Linked DNA regions of Styela clava. The protein of the gene in region 2 interacts with the protein of the main gene of each other region in a biochemical or structural test. Links are inferred from orthologs where the notes say so. Each region holds a gene or a part of one and is shown on either strand. Other genes may lie near its edges.

What was found. The genes of interacting proteins can lie anywhere in the genome.
Region 1: the proteins of eukaryotic translation initiation factor 2 subunit 2-like (region 2) and eukaryotic translation initiation factor 2 subunit 1-like form a complex in vitro, tested with the Homo sapiens proteins (2 studies listed by BioGRID and IntAct). The link is inferred for Styela clava from reciprocal best matches to the Homo sapiens genes EIF2S2 and EIF2S1.

The regions. Positions count from the first base shown.
Region 1 is NC_135250.1:6,449,046-6,456,686, forward strand, and holds the start of eukaryotic translation initiation factor 2 subunit 1-like, read left to right. Parts: upstream 1-4,543; 5' UTR 4,544-4,590; coding exon 4,591-4,828; intron 4,829-5,134; coding exon 5,135-5,214; intron 5,215-5,650; coding exon 5,651-5,811; intron 5,812-6,311; coding exon 6,312-6,418; intron 6,419-6,537; coding exon 6,538-6,635; intron 6,636-7,299; coding exon 7,300-7,443; intron 7,444-7,641. Other genes in the region: phosphatidylinositol N-acetylglucosaminyltransferase subunit C-like, read left to right, coding at 3,199-4,092. UniProt on the Homo sapiens protein: Member of the eIF2 complex that functions in the early steps of protein synthesis by forming a ternary complex with GTP and initiator tRNA. This complex binds to a 40S ribosomal subunit, followed by mRNA binding to form a 43S pre-initiation complex (43S PIC).
Region 2 is NC_135262.1:17,202,243-17,210,010, reverse strand, and holds the start of eukaryotic translation initiation factor 2 subunit 2-like, read left to right. Parts: upstream 1-4,722; 5' UTR 4,723-4,874; coding exon 4,875-4,904; intron 4,905-5,252; coding exon 5,253-5,373; intron 5,374-5,729; coding exon 5,730-5,834; intron 5,835-6,758; coding exon 6,759-6,793; intron 6,794-7,018; coding exon 7,019-7,118; intron 7,119-7,201; coding exon 7,202-7,275; intron 7,276-7,768.

The DNA.
Region 1 (7,641 bases), on a different chromosome or scaffold from region 2:
TGGTTATTACATAAAATTTATTCTCAAATGTGAATCAGCGTTGTTGGTGTCGCTGCTTTCGAGGTCACTCCCGACTCCTGTCACACAATTAAAGTATTTTTTGTTGTTGGTTACATGTATGCCATATTTTTCGTAATCTACCTAATAAATTATGATTGACTGAGGAAGTCCGATTTTGGTCAGGCAAAACATTACAGGAATACATTTGTGTTAGTGTGCTGTAGGGCTCTCGAATTGTATAGTTCTTATGTATGCGTTGTAAACTTATGGTTATTGAATTTCCGGGAACCTCTTATATTCAATTTCGCACCAGGATTGTGGAACAAGCTGTAATGCGTTCATTATGTTCGTTTTCACACAAAACTGAAGAATTTATTTAGTTACCAGATGTGCGCTACGAAACTCATTTTCTGGGCGTTTTCATGGTTTCGTCTCGCGGCCCATATCCGTGGTAAGGATCTACAAGTGTTTAATAATTTACTTATACATTTTTCAACAACGTCTTAGCATAACTTAACTAATAATAACTAAACAGGGCTATGGAAAGCCTGCCCAACTCAGCGCAAGGTCGAGCAGAAATAACTAATATTCATCCGCTCGCTAACAGCTGGTTTAATTCAATTGTTACGTCATGCAGAAGTCATTGTTCAGTGCCGAAAATGTAGAGAATATAGGACAGATCGTAGCGCATATTTCTTGTAGTAAAAGCGTCTTTTCCGTAAAACGTGCAACTTTTGGAAGTGGGAACAAGGCAATATTTGTTACTAAATTTTTAGGGAACATTTTAAAATCATTTTCAGGTAGTTACCTGATGTGCGCTACGAAACTCACTTTCTAGGCGTTTTTCAGGGCCTCGGCTCGCGGTCTACTAGTGATATAATCACAACAAAACTACGATAACAAAATAAACGCAAGGTTTTCCCGATGAAGGGGCGCCGCGTGGGACCGTTCCCGAATTTTGTGCAGCGACGTCCAAAGTTCCAATATCTAATTTAGATTCAACAGGAATTTTTTGTTATCAGAGTACTGATATTGAACACAAAGTGCGACTTTGGACCATTTCGCTAAATATTCGATGCTGCTGTTAACACGTGCAGGAGGTGACTGGTCTTATTGAAGCGAGTGAAACCAAAACAACTGGTTAATATAAGCAGGGCCGGATCATGCCGCTTAGGAGCCCCAGGCACTTAATACTTTGGGCCCTATTTATATAAAATGATAATAATGAAAACTAGTGTTCCATGTTTTCTGAATATGTTTCAGTATTCACTACCACGGTACTAATTAAAGCTAAGTTATGATTAATCTACATGGTATTTTTTGAAAATAATTCTCTTGCCTACAAACATTTATAGAGAGGTGTAAGCTGGTACTTGAAAAAGAGAAAATAATCAAGTTATTAAACCGAGACAATATTGAGGTCTGAATCGTCTTACCAACTCGAATTACATTAAACACTGAGATAGCCAGTTCGTGAAAACTTCTGTGGTGCATCCTTTCTCGTGGTGACCTTATTTTGATCAATGTTTAGTCCAACCCTGAATATAGGTAAACAGACATAGCCGTACAGTACTTGCAAGATCTAGATACATAGGCGTAGTTAGTGGAATACTGCAAGCAACCAACAGTTGCGCGAACTACACGGAAAATATTTGATTGAGATCTACAGGTTTCAAAATGTAACCGTACTGCCGTAAATAGCTGATCACAAATAACACTTCATTATCGCTGTCGAATTCAAAATCCAATTTTTACATGTGATATGTCGATTAACAATTTATTTGAGCACATCTCTCGATCTTTGCTCAAACGTTCTCATCATACAACTTCTTGGGGACACTCAAATTTCAGACGGCATTTCGACAGCAAGAGGGGAACGCAGCATCTCGCCGCAGTATGGTTACCAGCATGTCGTGCTCGGAGTTGTTTTCTTATAGTACAACGAGTGGAAATGTCAGGTCGCATGAAAATCCATTTTTATTTCCCAACTTAGATTAGACTTTTTTAAAGGTGTTGCTGCTCGATGATACGACTGGTTTATTGCACTCCCCTGCACCACGAAACGACATTTTTAGTTTATTCTATAATCTGTAGGCGCAAATATTCAGTAAATGGTCAAATAAATTGTTTACTACTAATTATCATTTTTTTGTCGTAGGTACACAAATTTGCAAAAGAGCATTTAAGTCTATGCTTCCAAAAATAAACTAGCTAACAAGTTCCATACTCGACATGGATTGGTAACCGGACGAGAGGCCGTGGTCCGCCATATGATTGAGCCGTCTTATCGGCTCTCCTCTTCCCCAGGATAAATATGTAAATCCTATCCTTTCCAGTGATGGGGTGCCAAACAGAAAAAAAGGATGAAATCCAGAGGAAGAAGAAATTTGACGAGTCAGCGTTAACATAACCCAAATCGGGAATAGGAAGAGTTCATCAGGTAATTGATTTGAGCGTATTTGAATGGCGCGAAGCCTTAACCACTTGCGAGGGTGAGAAGTCTGGCAATCCCCTCGCGCATAATTATGACGATTGGGTTTGTAATGCGATGACAATTGTGTTTCTTTGCGGTAACCGCCAGACCCAAAAAAGTTGACGGATTTTTTTGTCAAAAGATTTGGGTGTCGCTTACGGTGTAAATAAGAAGCGATCGCCGGATCCGGATCTCGAGCATCATTCACCCCTAACATGTGTGGACTGTAGAGTTTTTGGTGTTTCGTGTTGGTGTTTGCGCCATCGCCCATCATGGTGAACCATCATAGAGCAAATTCGCTCAACTTTGTGGTTAGTCTGTGCCGCTGTATGACTAAACGAGTTCTATTTGTTTTAATCAACCGTTTTATCGCCGTTTATGCTGAGTATGGAGTTGAAATAAACTTATCTTATCGTCCACCATGTACGGTACCGGTATCTGAAACTGTAGAACAAATACCGGTACCTACCGTACCGGCTAACTAATCCATACCTACTGGTACCGGTACCGTCAGACCGTACGATACGATATTTTGTTTGTAATGGCCCGCCACTGGGCTATAAACAGATAAAAGAACAGGTTCCTCAGATAAATTTGTTCATAGATTGTCTTGTATGTGCTTATTATTACAGTACCGGTATTGAGCCATTGTTATTATAAATTTCAGTTTTAACCTATTCATAGAGTAATATTGATTTTGGCTGTTGATATAAGCGTGTTCAAGAATGACAACTAATCGCAAAAAATGGAGAAAAGTATTGTACGAAGTTCAAAATGTTCCAGACAATTATGTGGATGAGTCTTTCCTCACGGAAATGCGAAAGAACATCTACATCAGAAAATATGAATATTGGGATCTCGTTCGTCAAATTGAAGTCATTACTCAACAACTTTGTACAGTCAGCTGTTTAATCGTTAGCTGGTGGTTACTCGATGAAGGCCTATATACTCCATATACTATGTTAAAATGGCTGATGCCTGTTTCAGTAATAGGCTTCTGCGTGTATTTATATTTAACAACGAGCCAGGGTGAGAGATGGAAAGCGTTATTTAGTAATGCTAAAACAGCAGTTGTTGTATTGTGTTTAACTGATTTTTTATCTCCGATATTAAAAACGTTGACGCACACTATTAGTACTGATACGATATATGCAATGAGTGTTCTAATGATTTTAGGACATTTACTGTTTCATGACTATGGGTCTGATGCTGCGCCAATTTCTAGAGCTGTATCGTTAAATATGTCATTGTTTTCGTCAGTATGTCTTGCGTCTCGATTGGATTCTTCGGAGCATGTATTCGCTATTGTTATTTTAGCGTTATTTCTTTTTGGATTTTGGCCCATGTTACAAAGAACATTAAGGCGTGAAACTCCGTGGTTTATGGATCCCTTTACTGTTTTATTGAGTATAGCAACGTTTTTGTTACTACTTTTTATTCATTTGTATATAAGTCTCTTATTTCTACTTCTAATTGTTTTTGTTAATTTCATCTGTCCTCTATTGTTGATGTCTCTTCAAATTCATAAAAATAATATTTATGGACCTTGGGATGAAGCAGTAATTGACCCGGATAGTCCTCGGATATTTACGGAAAAGAAATCATTCAAAAAAGAATAGTTTGTCAGCTTCTTATTCTGTGATATTATAATTTTTGTTTTTTAAATATTTATTGAAATGAATTTGGTTGAAAAAGTTTCATTCAGAAAATTTTATCGATGTATAGTTTTTGATTGTACAAACTGTTTATGTATCGATTGTTCGAAAAGAAGTGTCACGTCTCTTTAATTAAGAATTGTTTCAAATGTGAAGATATGTTTATATTGTTCGGTTCATAGATTCCATTTGTATGTCTATATGCAAAAGAATTACTGTAGACATATTTGTTGTTTTTTCCAGGTTGCGTCACATAACCACTGACTTAGCTCTAGTCTGTTGAACAGACAAAAGGCCACAGTTTGCCATATGATTTGAGTCCCTGGGATAAATATGAAAAAGTGTATCATATGCTTGACTATTGGTTAATCTATATAAGAGAATTTTATTCAAGTTTTATGTTTTTAATTGTTTTTATTTGAATTGTATATTTTTATATAGTTGTTAGCAAATTAACTCAAAATGCCGATCTCGTGTCGATATTATAAGGATAAGTTTCCGGAGGTTGAAGATGTTGTCATGGTGAATGTTCGATCCATCGCAGAGATGGGAGCTTACGTTAAATTGCTTGAATACAATAACATTGAAGGAATGATATTGCTTAGTGAATTGTCGAGACGTCGTATTCGATCTATCAATAAGTTGATTCGTGTCGGTCGTGATGAATGTGTCGTTGTTATAAGAGTAGATAAAGAAAAAGGTAGGGAGTTTCGTGCGATTGTTAATAAATAAGATTCAATGAAATTTATGTATTTGCAAATTTCAATATCCGATTCAAAACGAAATAGGCGAAAATGTGTTCTTTTTGTTGTTTATCGTCTTATAGTACTGACATTTTGATTATCAACTTTTGTGTCTTATAGATAGAAAAGTTATATTTTTGAAGATCACGATTTGTCATAGTATTTAACAAAAATTGCTGGATTAGCATTATTGCAATGCTATTGTTGCCTTTTTATCTTTTGATATATTGTGATTATTTTATAATAATTTGCTACTTTTTCAGGTTACATTGATTTATCAAAAAGAAGAGTTTCACAAGAAGAAGCAAAAAAATGTGAAAATAAGTATTCAAAAGCAAAATGTGTAAGTAGTGTTTCAGTGTTAATTCTGTAGCAGGAATATTGTTATTCAATAATTTAACGCTCACTAGGATTTACTTACTACTCTTACGGCATGTTAATTAAGAGGTATACAGCGATATTTGTTGATATACTAGATGTCTAGTATTTTCATCTAGTTTAGAATTTATGTTTGGTCATGCTAGGTATAAGAAAGTATTCATATTGCGGTCTTCATTATATATTTTGAATCATCATTATATATTCCATGATCTGGTGGATTTCTGAATTTTATCGATGTCTTTTGGGAAATAAGGCATCAACTTTATTTCATATGCTTGTAAGTTGAAACTATATGTGAAACAACATTTTGACCAGAGCTAGTGCTCAACTTATCAAACTTTTTTAGTAAATTTTGAAACATGTAATGAAAGCAAAAAAATAAAAATTTTTTAATACAGGTTTACAGCATTCTTCGTCATACTGCTGAACTTCTAGGTTTTCAGACAGATGAAGATTTTGAAGATTTATTTGACCGAACAGCCTGGGCGTTGGATACAAAATATAAGAGACCAACTGAAAAATATCCTGCTTCATATGATCTATTTAAGAGAGCTATAGAGTAAATGCCAATCTTTTTGCATAATTGTACCTATGTACCTCTCTATGTGTAATTGATTTCTGTGAAATTTTGCATTTGTGCCACGAAAAGTTCGGATTATCAATCTGAATCTTATAGAGCTTGTACCTTGCTCATGAAATTTCCAATACTCCCTCTTCAAGGCCACCACGATTGTCCATATTAGAATGGTTTGATATTCTACTTTTTGTCACAAAAAGATGAAACAAAACAATTTTTTTTCTGAAAAAATAGACTTAAGTAATGATTTCGCAAATTTGCAATAGATTTGATAAAAAAAAGCAGCCATCTCATTAGTTTTAACAAAATTCTTTGATATCGATATTCCTTGGCATTTAAGTCTCAAGTATATTGTCATATATTATGCAAAAATAAATCTACATATAGACTGTTGTAATATGTCATCTGTTCCTTTTACACCTCTCAATCTGCTTTTGTTGAAGACTTTCCAAAAAAAATAAAAAATACCATCAATTTTATAGTGAACCACAAGTTCTTGATGAACTCCAATTATCAGAAGAAGAGAAATCAGTTTTGATGAAAAATATTAGGAGAAGGTTGACTCCGCAAGCAATGAAAATTCGATCAGGTATATTTTGATATCTGGTTATTGATGACCTTCCTGGCAGTTACATATTCCAAGTTTTATCTCAATTCCCTCTCCGTATTGGTCACTGAACAATCTTTGAATTTTTTTTTTTCTAACAGATGTTGAAGTATCTTGCTATACATATGAAGGAGTAGATGCAGTGAAAAATGCTCTTTTGAAAGGAATTGATTGTTCTACTGAAGAACATAAAATCAAAGTATGTATTTTTGTGTGATATATCATTCATATCTACTCTGAGCACGGCGCTTAAGTCCTAACAAGGAACCACTGTTCTTAAGAAAATTGAGAAATGATCTAATACAGTGGTTCCTTAACTGTGGGCCAAATACGGCCTGCGTAATGATTCCGCCGAACTTGAGTAACATAGTTTTCACTTGGCTTACGTAAAGATATTATAAAGGGCTCTGTTCTTCCCATGTTTCCTTCTAAATGTTTTCGATTGTCCCTCTTAACTCTTTCGATTTTAATCGGTAAGTATGTTGATAGGTATTTGTCTGTTAGATGCACGCAATATCTCACGAAATCGAGATTGAATCTGCTCAAGATTTTGCATGTGCATTCATTATATGTCGTACCATAAGCCTATTGATTTTGGATGAATTATGTCGTATAATTAGCGAGTTATTAATTAATTAGTGATGGGACACAAGGTGTCACTATGGAGTAAGAGCGCTGTTTTGGGGGATCCCCTAACTTTCGATCGATAAGTCTTCGGTCTCTGACCGATATTCTCGTTTCGATATTGATGACTTGCACTATCTAACATAGTTAAATATTAGTTTTGAAATAAGGTTCTGTATTTATGTATATAATAGTTAGATTGCAGAAACATTTTTCAAAGAAAGAATTTTATATTCCAGATCAATTTGATTGCTCCACCTGTCTATGTGCTGACAACCCAATCTTTGGATCGACAAGTAGGTTTGAATGCATTGCAAGATTGCTTGAATGAGATTGAAAAAACTATAAAAGAATCGGGTGGCAATTTCAAAGTTAAAATGGAGGTAAGTTGTGTTAACTTTTCTTTCTCTAATTGGACAAAAAACGAGCCTTGATTCATTTCTCTGATGTGTTGTTTTTCTTGTTGGGATTTCAGTACCTTAGTACTGTTTTTTAAGGGTTATCATTACCAATTATGGCCACAGGATGTGTCCTAGCAATGCCCATTTTGCTCTATAAATTTGACCATTTAGAAAATTATA
Region 2 (7,768 bases):
ACTAATTAATAATAAAAAGATAGATGACACAAATCACAATATATAATGAATGCAGGAATCTTCAAGCTCGACTACTCCAAAAAAGAAATCAAATCGAGGCAGTGTGAAAAACAATTAATGAACTAATTGGTGAAAATAAAAGCAATTTCTGTCCATCTGTTGAACTCGACTGCGGTAGTACACAAATTGCAAATAAATTTAGTACTTTACCCAAGTGACACAAAGATTGCTTGACAATATGGCTCAACCAGCTAGCTATGACAAAAAAACACCTCTCATATCTTGGAAAGCAGGTATTCCCATCTATGTTATTGAGGTCAACTACATCATTGCAATCAATAGCCAACTGCATCATAATTATGCGAACTGCCAAAGTCCAACTCAAGTTTTGGAATCGATTGTACTCCATTCAAAATATTGCAGTAATATGTTCCAGAAGATATCATTGATATCAAGGCATATATACTCAACCACTCACTATCTAGTGGATTATTCATTAAAATCTTCAAAACTAAGCTCTATCACTATGGAATTAGAGGCGTCCCATTCAATTGGATCAGGACCTTCAAGACAGGAAGCAAATTGTGCAATATGACAACTCATTGTCTACAAATATTTGTGTCATGAAGCACGGAGTTCCACAAGGATCTTTACTTGGCCCATTATTTTTTCTAGCTTACATTAATGACATGTCCAGGTGTCTGAAATCCTCTGAGTCGATCATGTTTGCTGATGACACTGATTTGATTCTTCATGGGAAAAACCTTGAAGATCTATTCACAGTTGCAAACCAAGAACTAACCGACATTCATAGCTGGATGTTAGTTAATAAATTATCTCTTAATGCTAACAAAACTAAATTTGTATTATTCCATCCAAGCAAGCATAAAAGTGTGAGTTGTTCAAAAAAACTACTGCTCAATGGCAATGAAATTGAAAGAGGGAAAGAAATAAAATTTCTAGGAGTTATCTTTGATGAAAATCTGTCATGGAAATCACAAATAATGCATGTTATTCGTAAAACTAAAAGAAACCTAGCAGTTTCTGCCAAAGTATCCAAGTGTGTTGATCAATCAGCTCTACTAGCAATGTTTCAATCATTACTACTTAGCCATATTCGATATTGTTGTTCAGTCTGGCTTCATGGTAATAAAACACTTGTCTCAAAACTGCAGAGTATTTGTAATAATTTTTTAAGAATAGTTTTTGGTAAAAGAAAACGTGAAAGTGTAGACCCTTACTTCAAATCACTAAATATATTTAAGGTTGAAGATATGATGAAATTTGAAATATTATCCCTAGATTACAATTTCCTTAATAATGCGCTGCCCAATTGCTTTAACGACATACTTGTCAAAAATACCTCCAACCGAAGAAGTAGTTCTGATTTATTCGTACCTTTCATGAGTAAATCTGTGAGTCAGCATTCCTTGTCTTTTACTGGACCCAAACTTTGGAATTCTCTTCCCCTAAATTTGAAGACGTTAAAGTCCAAAAAATCTTTTCAAAAACAAGTCAAGTCTCATTTAGTTTGCAAATATTAAAATTACTAATGGCGGTATTCGATGACAAAAACTTGGGACACTCCACTCCACCCTTGCACATTATTGTTTTAATGAAAATGTTGAACAGCTATAATAATATGGTTATATCTTGCCATGACTTGGCCAGACCTAGTCCAGCATCAAAAAATGGTATTGTGACATGCATGAGTATATTTTTTTTAAATATATAGGTAGCTGTCATACCTGGATAATATTATCTTTAAATAACTGCACACATTCTATCACTTCACGCTCGTGTTTTTACCTTTTTCTAGCTGTGATGTCCTTATCATACATGCATGGTCTTATGTTTGAGTGGTGGTGTAAGGGTTGTAGATGTATAATATAGTTCCTGCAAGGTTACTAATCATTGCAACAAGGCGAGTAGTAGAGCTATGTTGGATTCTCCCCTTCAGATTTTAATTTGCGGTGGGTCATTTTAATTGGATGTGGTTTTTATATCATTTATGTATGCATGCATTTTATGTTAAGGCAGGGTATTGGTGTTTGAGTTGACATGTTGGCCAAGGTATAGATAGTAAAATTTTGTGTGTTTTTTGCATGGTGTGATAAATTTTTCTCTGTCCCAGGCAGAATGTCATCATAGATCATCTATCCATCGCTATATAATGACAATACATCCCATTTAATTAAACACTTATTTTTTGCCTGTAATAAATAGTTCAGCTTGTTCCCCTTCACCAAATCATTGAAACATCTACTCGCAGTTTTATTTTTTGTTTTTCAGGTTTCTTCAAAGTGATTAAATGAAGTAAAACACATAAGAAAAAAATCAAACAAAGACTCTGATATCCTGTGAAATAACAATCTTATTCCTATATCCTTGTCTGAAATCAATACCCAAAAATGAAAAACCTCACTTACACCCTTTGTAACCAATTTATTTCCATATCCTACTTTACTTAATTATAGTAATTTTACTGTTACCGGTAACTTTAATTACTTATTACAATCTGGACTATAATTTGGCAATAATAGGCTCTAACTTGGGGAATGAAATGGTCTCGCCCACCTCTTCATGCACCCAATTCTGGTAACTTTGATTGGGCAACTTGGCATTTGACTCCAACTATAATCAGCTTGGCAATATGTTTTCAATAGAATCTTCCTTTTATATTTTAATTAACGATTAGAAGATCGATCAATTTGGCAATGGCAACCATTACAAAATTATCCATATGTAGTGGCAAATAATTTTTTTTTTCTTTCTCTAGTATTTATTTTTATTTTTTTTGTTTACTGCCCTATAGTCTACCCTAAATTTATCGCGTTTTATTCTGACTTAAAATAACTTCTCAGTGGTTGAGTGTGTGTGCATGTCAGCGTGTGTGAAATAACTTAATCATTTTAGGTGAGTAAACACGTACCACTTCCTCTTGGCAAAACCTCCCATCTTATATTTTGTACGTTATAAACCTTATCTAAGGTTTCGTTTGCTCCCCTGATTTCATAATCAGTTTTTATTTATTTGTTTTTATCTGTCAAATGTATTGTTATGCTTATTATGGAGTCGAAATAAACTTACTATATTATTATTACATCTGAAGTTTTTCCTCTTTTTGGAGTGTTTAAAGCAGTTTTTCTTGGACTTTTGTGTGAGCGAACACGTACCACTCACTATTAAGTTTTGTTTGCTCTCCCGATTCTGTGATCAGTTTTATACATTTTGTTTTCATCATTTACATTAACCTTTTTTTAGGACGATGCTGGGGTATATATACATACCAGTACAGAAATGCCAATTTTGCTTTTTTTGTTTGTATTATTTCTGACAGACATGGGTACAACTTCGTTATACTAATAACAGAAAGATATCGAAAAACTGGGAGAGAAATTTTATTGCATTCATTTCATGTCGAGTCAATTAAATTACGCATTATCCTCCTCCATAATCTGCTCTGACATTGGAATATGAGACAGTTACTGTTAATTTAACTTTGTACAGCAGTAGATATATTTGTAAACTAAAATGTACGATGTAAAAGTGATTGACCGAATAAATTTCCATAGGTCATAACACGTCAGTTTTAGCCTATTCTGTCGCAGATTTTTCGGGACTAATTTCTAGGCTTACCATACGTCCCGGTTTTAGCATGTTTTCCGCCGTCCCGCCGAAAGACTTGAATGTGGTTTACGGTTTTGCAGTATGACAGTCATAAATAGTTTTTCTATTTGAAACTACTAAATGTTTTTAACGGAGGCATCCGATTCACCACTGATTCGCGTCTCACTTGACTAGTTCAGATATAGAGAAAAATATTTGCGTCATGGTTAGGATATGACAGTATGAACCATGCGTTAATTTAACACCCGAATGTCGTTGAATTATCAAAGTGCCGGAAACAAAGTGCAAGTTTTCTAATGAGTTGAACGATTTCAATTATTTGAAGCAAAGACTTATAGTCATAGAGGATATTTTTTAAAAGTATTTACAGCTAATTTTTAGGCCCGTAATCTACCCACAATGGTATGGAAAACGTTTAAATTAAACTATTACTATGCCCCTGGAATGAAAGGTTGGCTTGTCAAATCCGCGCCGTTTCAGTCACCGAGGTTCCTGATCCATGCTGTATATAAAAATCAGTCAGATAAAGCATTGGCGATGAAATATGGATAAAAAATAGAGATAAAATGTATATGTACGAGTCGACAATTTAATATTCTAAATTTAATAATGAAAGTGAGGCCGAAATAAAGTGTACGAGCGACTGCACAAAGTTCCATTGTTGACTTATTGCTGATTGTTCATTGGTACAAAATAAACAAGGGAATCGACGCTCGGAGAAACATCCATAGTCACCATAATTTTGAGAAAATCGCAAAGGGCAGCGTGGCAAGTGCCGTGGTCACTATCACCAAAGCCGTTATATAATGGCTCTGGTATCACTACGCCAACTGCGTTCCCTTTTCTATATGGCTGATGCAATGATTTCTTTTTTAACGGCTGAGTGAGCACCGTATTATGGATGTCATTATTGGCAATATTTCGACAACAAATATCAAGTAAAAAGTTTGTCAAAAATTGATTGATCATGAAGTAATTGAATGTACGACTGATTCAATGTAAAAATGATGCAATTTTAAGAAATTTTAATGAGATCCACCCTTCACGCAACACCGAACACCATCTGTTCTGTTATGAAAAATTGCGAAATCGTCATTCGTTGACGAGGTCTTGCTCACGTTTTAACGCAGAAATTGCAGTGGAGCTGTTTGGACCGTATGCTCTCAGTTCTTTTGTTCAGCTAACAAGTTCCTTATTTATATTAGTTTTTTTCATAAATACACGAATTGATTAATAAATCAGCAATGGCCGCGGCAGAGGACAATGACGATATGGTAAGTTTTGGCATTTCAGATTTGTCAGGTGCAACATGAAGTTACAGAGTTATGTTCTATATTCTGTGCATTGTGTTCTGAAATTTGCTTTGTACAGTTGTACCTACGGTATGTGGATACCGAGTACCGATCTTAAAATAAATTTCCCATATTTCATATTAATCAGCTATGCAGTGTGGGGCATCACTCAAAGCATACAGTCATAAGGAACTGGAATATGCTCGCCACCACATCCGTGATTACTTTCCTCTTTAAGGATAAATAGTAATATTTCATCCTTCTAACCAAAAAGCCCTGTATACTAGTTGAGTGTAACTTCGAACTTTTTTTTTGACTATTGAATCACAGAATCTTGAATTAACAAAGAAGAAGAAGAAAAAGAAGACTGCAAATTTAGATGAACTCATTGGTAATACAGAGTCGACCGAAGTACTAAAACAAGAAAATGGAGAAACTCCGGCTCCAGAAGGTATTACCACTAAGAGTATGATAAAAACTGTTAAAAGACTACCTTTGTTAATACAATTACTATTTCTAGCAAATTTTCCCCATGTGTGATTACATGATGATACGATCCGGTGACAAGATAAATAATCTTTTAATATTTTCACTCAGTTACTTTCTCAAAAATAAGATAATAAGCCACAGAATATTAGCGTGGCGGGAATATGTGATATCTGATAAAATTTGAAAATTGCTGTCCAGCTCCATTTTTGACTCAAGTTTTGAGTCATTTTTACTATGATTGCTCTTTGAATTTTTTTGGCAGGAAAAATTCTTGAGATGGAATATAGGTAGAAATTATTTTAAATGTTCTTTTTATAGTTGAAGATGAATTATCACTCACAAATCTGAAAAAAAAGAAGAAGAAAAAGAAGTTTGTCCTGGATGACGAAGATGGTGAAGGTGACAAAGATAAAAACGAAACAGGTATTGTGGGGTTATTTAGTGCAGGGGTGTGCGAACTGCGGCCCACAAAAATAGTGCGGCCTGTGGAGAAGTGCTAATTTTGAATAGTGTGCTGCCCGTGAAACAAGTTTTTTTAATTCAGTTTTATCTGTTACTTGCGACCCTTTGCATTGCAAGGCCTAGTCCAATAATTATCTATGTCTATGACGTTACAGTGCCCCAAACACAAGCTTGTGCAAAGCAAAGTTGTAAAAGGATCAACTAGATTGCGATCGGAGACCGCCGACTTATCGATCTGCGGTTTCGATTCCTTTGCTCTGACTTAATAGAGACACTGCGTGTCCTATCAGTAATTAATTAATAACTCTAATTATACGACATAATTCATCCAAAATCAATAGGCTTCTAGATATGATGTATGCACATGCAAAATTTGGAGCAGATTCAACTTCGCTTTCGTGAGATATTGCGTAACATACGAAAGTGTCTAACAGACAAATACCTATCAACATACTTACCGATCGAGATCGATAAGTGATAACCAAGTTTTTGTCATAGTGTAAACAGTGATGCACAAATTCCTTTCGCCTAAAATATTTTTGTTGGCTTTGTTTGACCTAAAAATGTAGGATATAATTTTTGCAGTGGTACTAATTTTGTGCTTTAAATTGTGTTTTAATTGACGATAAAACTGTTTTCGTGGTTTGCTCTTATTCCGAGGATGAAAAGGTGAAATAAAAATGGTGTAAATAAAAATGAATAAATTATGTTGCATCAATGTAATACTTTTGGTCCAACAGAATTAAAACAATACATTTCATTATGTGACCTGTAGAAACTTACGGTGAAAACTTTGGGTGCCTATAGGAAAAAGTTTTTTTTAATATTTTTATCATCTCTCTGCATAAATAAATCTAAAATATCTTGTTTATTCATATTTTGCAGGTGATGCTGGGGATGAGGGCACAGCTCAAGAAAAAGTAAATTATTTTAATATTTTCTTTATTGAAATTGTATTGTGAGTTACTTTATGTGTTGGTTGTTTTTATCTCATCAGTATGGTAGTTAAATTTAATGTTATTTATATAGAATGTCATTTTTATCAGTTATCTACAAAGTTTATATCTGAATACTTTTTATAGTCCACCGTTCTAAGTATTATTCCTGTTCTCAATTCTTATTGGATAATACGTTTTGTTCCATAGAAAGAAGACGGAGAAGAAGAAGAACTCGATTTAACTCATAAGAAGAAAAAGAAAAAGGGCAAAGAAGTTGCTTTCGCAGACCAAGTTGAGGAACAAAATGGTATTTGTTTTGTCAATTTTTTGTCGAAATTTGTTCTATGCATAATTTAACACATTTTCATGGGTTTCATTTGTTTATTTCAGAACAAGAAGAAATTCATGTAACTCCAGGAGAATCAACATGGGCAGGAACAGATAGAGACTATACATATGAAGAGGTTTGTTAATTCACACATTCTATATTTCCATTTTGGCGCTCCAGGAGTGTGTATAGCAATATAGATGTAACTAATTTTGTTCGCTTACTTTACATCAAGATGTGTAAGGGGACTGAATCTTATGGACAGGGGGTATATTCACTGGCTAACACAGACAGTCCCCGAACTCGTAATAGAACTAAAATAAGAAAAAATCGAATAAAATCATGGGCTAACTCTAACCTGGTATCTTCATTTTGGCCTGGTTATGTCATTGCATGTATATCGTTGGCTGAATTAGTTGGGTTTGAGTAAATACTTCTGCAGACTCGTATTTCTATTCCGAATAACGATGAGAGGGCGGCAGTTAATTTATTTAAAATGTCATGATATCTATAGTAATGTTAATAACAGATTTTTCTTCAACACCTTTATTGATATGCTAAAGTGTTATTTTATTATTATGAATATGTTAATGTAATTAACACGTGGTACACAAAATGTGGTTTCATTT